Caenorhabditis elegans: one gene and its partner. The protein of the gene in region 2 purifies or fractionates together with the protein of the main gene of each other region. This does not show direct contact. Each region holds a gene or a part of one and is shown on either strand. Other genes may lie near its edges.

What was found. Proteins that work in one complex are often made in the same cells at the same time.
Region 1: the proteins of mesp-1 (region 2) and klp-18 purify together in Caenorhabditis elegans (affinity purification with western blotting, with the first as the bait; one study listed by BioGRID). This does not show direct contact.

The regions. Positions count from the first base shown.
Region 1 is NC_003282.8:7,038,583-7,042,340, reverse strand, and holds the start of klp-18 (Kinesin motor domain-containing protein), read right to left. Parts: upstream 2,131-3,758; 5' UTR 2,130-2,130; coding exon 1,879-2,129; intron 1,833-1,878; coding exon 743-1,832; intron 696-742; coding exon 331-695; intron 280-330; coding exon 92-279; intron 43-91; coding exon 1-42. Other genes in the region: cogc-2 (Conserved oligomeric Golgi complex subunit 2), read left to right, coding at 2,794-2,933, 2,982-3,147, 3,194-3,387, 3,433-3,758.
Region 2 is NC_003282.8:8,497,631-8,500,592, reverse strand, and holds mesp-1 (MEiotic SPindle), read right to left. Parts: upstream 1,284-2,962; 5' UTR 1,251-1,283; coding exon 753-1,250; intron 706-752; coding exon 622-705; 3' UTR 517-621; downstream 1-516. Other genes in the region: acdh-13 (Acyl-CoA dehydrogenase family member 9, mitochondrial), read left to right, coding at 1,770-1,873, 1,926-2,013, 2,060-2,572, 2,618-2,962.

The DNA.
Region 1 (3,758 bases), 1.5 Mb from region 2:
TTTCGAGATCTTCAATCATGGAGACGTAATACAAACGTTGTTCTGAAACAAGAACCGTAAAAACTGAGTAATATTAAAAATTAAATGTTACCCTCCAATTCTTCGCTCGATCGATTTTCACTCTCCTTGCTGCTCAACTCGAGTTCAGCAATGCGTTTTCTCGAAGCATCAATATGGAGAAGCAACTTATCGAGTGTTAAGTTGTTTGCTGTCACTTTCTCCTTGTATCCCTCGGCCACTGCTTCGGACTTCCTCAGACTCTCGGATACAATGGAAACTCTGAAAAAGGAAACACTTGATAGTGAGAGAAATATATCAAATAAATCTTACTCTTTTTGCAATGCAACAATTTCTCCCTGAAGCAATCGTTCCGTCTCGATTGACTTTGACGTTGCCTCTTCGTGCTTGTCTTTCAATGAGCTCAGTTCACAACTGAGCTTCTCGTTTTGACATTGTAGGTCGAGCACGGCATCCTCCGAGGTTTCGACTTCAGCGAACAAAGCCATTCGTGCAGGTGAAGGTCTGTATTGGGTCTCCCGGCGTTTGGGTCTCGAACTGCTCCTCCTCTCCTTTGCCGACGGTGTTTGCATCAAGATTGTCGCGTCCAGATTTTCCTGATAGCGATTTCGCAGAGCACTTGTCTCCTTTTGCAGCTCCTGGTATCGCTTCTCGCTGGCTTCGATCTCCAATTGGAGCTGAAAATTCTCATATTTACACAAAATGATGAGAATAATTAACATACCGTTTGATTCTTCAGAGCTATGCATTCGAATGGAGAACTGCTATTTGCGGCACTGAATTCACTGATGATCTTCTTGAACTCGTTAACAATCTGTTCGTTTTCTGATCCGATCGTGTACTTCAGAAGAGCAAAGTCATACTTTGCACGAAGATCGACGTTTTCCAATCTCAAGGAGTTGTTTTCTGTCTTCAGTCGAAGTTGTTCAACTTCGGCTTCGTCCAACTGTGATGCGAATTCCGTCCGAACCTTTTCCCGCGTTTCGTCAACCTCTTGGCGTAGTTCTTGAATGGCTTTTTTGTAGCTGCTCTCCTGGTCGCCGGTCATAACTTCATTTCGAGTGGCAATGTTCATGATCATCGTGCACGACTGAGCGAACATCAAGGTGGAGTTGCTTTCCTGTGCAAAATCACGATCCGGGTGCATATTAACGATAACAGCCGTCTTTGAATTGCCACCAAGCGAGTTCTTCAGAATATGAGTGAGATGAGAATCGCGGTATGGAACGTGTCCTTTAGCTTTCGAAGGATCGGCAAGAAGACGGATGCAACGGCCTAGCACTGTCAGAGATGAGTTGATATTTGTCGCTTCTTTCAGTCGATCTCCGCTTGATTTTGTATGCGTCTGACGCTCCGATCCCGCCAAGTCCACAAGGTTCAGGATAGATGACCTTTCCTTGACTAGCTCTCCTGTTCGCTCCTGCGTTTTGATCCTGATGATGAGCAGCGCGTGTGATCTTGACGATTCGGCATTCATTGCAGTCGAGCCAGTGCTTCTTTCCTGCCAACCTTTTTGGACCAAATGCATCAAGTCGAGCGGGTTATCAACGTTTTTCGACAAGGCTCCAACAAGCTGAATGTCCTTTCCCGAATCTCTGAGTTGGACTTTGTTCTTCGCATTCAAGAGGTCGTAGATGACTTCGTTGTAGAGTTCAACAAACTCAACAGAAACGGAGAACGTCAACTTTTGACACTCTTTAGCCTTCGTGTCCAGATGCTGGAAAACGTGTTCCACTGATCGAGGGATGAGCCCCATAAGTTCTTGGTCAGTCCATGAATCGCAAGGACCAAGCATTGTATGGGTTTTTCCAGAACTGAAAATCGAACTTTCATTTCTCAAACTACATTGGAAGCACTTACCCTGTCTGTCCATAGGCGAACACGGTCCCATTATAGCCTTCCACACAATCCTCGACAATCTTCTTCGCGACTGTTCCAAAGACGTCCTCCTGTGATGAAGAGCTATCAAAGATATGATGGAGCTCATATCTTTTGGATCCATTATCAGTTTCAATCGTCACAACGCGTCCTCCCACAAAGAGAGACTCGGAAGGTGCCCCAAGCCGTGCCGACGGGCGTACCCTGCCGTAGCACTTGATGTACTGCGACATTCTGAAAATGAGAAATTATTTGAAAGCGTAATAGTAAAGCGGTGAATGATTGAAGAAAGGAAAATAAATCATCAATAACACGATGAAGAAAATAGCACTATCGACTAGATTTTATGAATTTAAAGAACTTCGGGCATCGCTAGTTTAAAATTAAAAAAATCTCGAGCTGGAAAATAAAAGGATCACTATAAATTTGAGAAAAATTCAAGAGAAATGAAAAGTTTCATATTTTTAGGACAAAACCTAGAAAAAATCAAAATTTCGCGCCTCCGCGGCGGATTCTGCGCGTTCGCTACGAGACCGAAATACGTTTAGTTATGCTCCTTCAAATGTTACGGTATCAAAAATGTTTTCAGATGTAGTTTCTTTTTGCCCAGAAATTCATGCTTTCTACATTTTAAAAGCTTTAATACTCTCATGTACACTAGATTATAATTTTCAACACTTTCGATAAGGTAAATGCAAAAAATCTTCATTTTATTTGTTTTAATTCTTATTTTTCAAAAATTAAACTAAAGCGCCTTGTGAAAGGGAGCGCACTTACACTCACAAGTCTCGTGCGAGAGAGTTGCGAAATCGCGTGCCAAGCTTGCATTTTGACTCCTCCCACACAGTTCCACGCGAAAACGTTGAAACAATTTTTTTTTTTGAAAATATTTTTAAAATGGGTACACTTCATGGCGAGAAAACTATGTTCGCTTCGCCAAACACCTTCTATATCGATGAATCGAAGTTATGCTTTAATAAGACCCATTTCAATCGAGAAGATTTTAATGTGGAACGATTTATGAACTTGGCAAGGCAGTGAGTTTTTATTTCAAATGAAATGGAGAATTGAAAATTGGTTTTCAGAAAATCTGATCTCAAAACAATTCAGCAGGATCTACGCCTCTACTTGAAAAGTGTTCAAAATTCAATGATCGAGCTTATCAACGATGATTATGCGGATTTTGTCCATTTATCGTCAAACTTGGTCAGCCTCCAAGACTCACTAAATAAAATCGAACAAGATATCAATGTAAATTTAGAATTTATTTTTACAAAACGTCGAATTTAAGTTTTAGAGAATATGGGATGAATTCAAGGAGTCGACAAGAGAATCTGTTGGTATGGCTGAAAGAATCGAGCAAAAATGTGATGAGCTTTGCTCAAATCGAGAAAAACAAATTGAAATTCGGGATCGCATTTATTTTCTAGTTGCCATAGAAAAGCTATCAGAAATGTTATTGCATCCTCCTCGAAAATGCTCTGCTTTGTGGTAATATTTTTCATTTATTAAAAAAAAATATTACAATTTTTGCAGGTTACAAAAGGCAGCGTCCTTCGCATCAGAGCTGAAGGGTTCCACGTTTCCCCATTCGGAAGAGGAAAATGCCGCTGAAAAGATAATTCTATCTCAGCTGGAAGCGGTTCTCTGTGCAGAAGGAGTTCGAAGTGCCGCCGGTGATTGTCAAAATCTTCCTCTCATTTATTCAATTTTATCGTTAACGGAGAGTACGCATTCACTAACTGCCCTCTTGGTTTCTGATCTTTTGTATGCCGAATTTGTAAATGAGAAACACGACGAAAGTAATCAGTTGAAACTCTTGAAACAAGTCTTCGAAAGCGTCAAAAAAATGCGTGAAACTT
Region 2 (2,962 bases):
TTTTCCGGAATCCAAAATCACATTTTCCAAAAATTCACTTTTAAAAATTCCGAGTCTATATAGGAGGCGAAAACCGAGTCTAAATAGAAGCAAAACGCACTTATATTTAGAAAAGAGTAGAACTATTTAGAAGAAGAAAGTATTTCTAATTAGAAGAAGTAGACATATTTAGAAGAAAAATGCGCTTATATTTAGAAAAGAGTAGACCTATTTAGTTAAAAAGCTCTGCTATTTAGATGAAAAAGCATTTCTAATTATGTCGTGTTGGGAGCTAGCGCCATTTCTAAATATATCTGCTTTTTTCTTCTAAATAGAAGCGAAAACGTTTATCTGAGAATGTTTCTGATGACAACAAGAAATGTGTCCACATTGTGCACGAAACAAACAGCGAATCCGGGTTACATGTCAAATTCCTGTTTGCGTATGAACACTGCATTCAAGGTTTTGAACCGAATACGCGATTTAAAATTCTTAAAATGTATCGGTGCCGTCGGTGCCGATGTGAAATCAATTAGCTGAGCAACCGGTTTTATTTACAGAAAAAAATGACCGGGTTAGTAGTTAATATTGAACAAAGAATGAAGAAATAAAATAAATTAACAGGAATCATCGCATTGGCGATCAGTCTTCGCGATTAACGCGGTTCAGCCACGACTTCGTTGGCCTCGCGAAGGATGGTGTCTTCGGCACTGTGCATTTTCGGATCTGAAAACATTTTATTAGAACACATTTATTGTTTCTTAAACACAAACCTTTGCCGAAGGATGCACTCTCCAGTGTACGTCTCTTCTTACAGGCTCCGTTGAAGCTGGGCGAGCTGACAGCGAGACTTGGCTGAGATGGCGGAGAGGCTCAGAAGATGGTCGCGGTGGTGGAGACACTGCAATTGATGATTCAGCGGGAAGAGTGAGCTCTCCATCGGAATCCAGCTGAATGAAGGTTTGCTCAATTGGAGGTGCCACGATCCGAGACAAGTCTTCGAAGCGAAATTCCTGTCGAGGAGCCGTAGGTGCAGGCGTTGAAGTGTAATCCGGCACAAACATTCTTCGGCTCTCCGGAAGGTGCCTGGCCGGTGTCGGTGTCCGTCCCATGAAGATATTTGCGCGAGTTGCCGGACGTGGGGTCTGATCCATGGATAGAATTGACCCAATCCTGTCTCTGAGCGAAGATCCGGCAAACTCGAACCGATTCCTCATCGATGTGTCCACTTCACGTCTGCTGGCGCTTGTATTCCCCTGAGGTGTTTTCATGTTCCTGGTTGGAGTTTTGGGAATCGCAAGCATCTGCAAGAAATATTCGATTTTGATAAATAAAAGATAGAGAGGAAATTAAGAGAGAACGATAAAAATTAAAATAATAAGAAAAAGCTCGTAGATGTGAAAAAATGAAATGAATATGAATTGTCAACAAGGAAAAATCATGTTAAAATAATTGGCGGCGAAATTCAGATCAGTGCGCATTAATATTAGATCAAAATTATAAAAATAAAACCTAGAGCGTCTAGAAATCGTGATACCGTACTCTTCACAAGTGAGAGAACATGTAAAAAGTAGAGACTCAGATGCGCGAGATTAAAGGCACGTTGATTTTTCCGGACGGGTCCACCACGAGACTGGGCGTGATTAAATGATACTTCAAAATTTGAAATTAGCGCGTTAATACTTCGTGGCCGTGGCCGAGAAAACTCGATTTTTACCCTAAACAATTTTCCCGGCCATATTATTTTTGAATTTTTCAGCGCTGTTTCTTTGCTTAAAACTCAAATTAAGATGCATCGGGCGTTGATCCGATTACAAAAACTGCATAAATGCAATGTGAGATGTCTCAGTGATGCAGCAAAATCAAAAGAAGTGGCTGGTATAAGTGAGAAAAGGTATTATTCAGTAATGTTTTTTCAGAAATAATGAAACTATTATTTTTTTCAGTAAATTTGCTATTCGAACTCTCGACAATACTTCGTCTATCGAGAAGAGGAGCTTGTCGAGAGGTTTCGCTATGAATAAGTTTGAAAAGGTTTGAATTTTTGCAAATATAAGTTTATGCGAACATATCATTCCAGGACTTCATGATCTACCCAGAATACACAGATTCAGATGATGTGCGTAATATTGAAGGGTTTGTGGATGTGTTGCGGAAATCACTTGAATTATCAGTTGACTCGAAATTAATAGAAAAAGAAGGGAAACTAGCTTCAGATACAATAGAAGCTCTTCGCTCGAATGCAATCTTTTCCTTGGCTATTGGAAAATATTTCGACGGCATCGGCATGTGTAATAAGGATTTGTCGAAAGTTTTCGAAGAACTCAGTGTAGATTGGAATGTATACACAACTTCACACATTTCTCTTCTTGTCGCAAACATTTTGACAATTTATGGATCTGATGAACAAAAGTCCAAGTATTTAGGAATTCTTGGGTCTGGAAAGCTTCGACCAGCGGTTGCAATTGTAAAAGATACGAATGGAGGAGTCTGTGAACAAACAGCTGGACCTGGTGGAAAATCAATGTTAAATGGTCAGAACATCCGAGTTATGGGTCATCACAATGCCAACTTTTACGTCGTTTTCGGAAATGTTAGTAGGAATTTCTGTTCTCTTTAAATTAACATTTATTTTCAGAACAACGGAGAGAAAACCTGCTTTCTACTCGATGAAGCTGAACTGGGAACCACCGACAAGATTCAATTTACACGTGACGAAACAATCGGACTGAAAGGAATTGACGTTGGGCGCATCGAGCTCACTGCATTGGTAACAGACAAAAATCTACTTGGAACACCCGGACACGGTTCCGAAATTGCATCGGAGCTGGTCGGTAGTGGTAGAATGCCATTCGCAGCCGCCACAATTGGAATGGCTCGAAGAGCACTTAGAGAACTATCGATTTGGTGTAATCGAACTCCGAGTAGGCAGAATGATCGCACAACTTTAGCGGACGATTCGAGATCACAAAGGATTGTGACT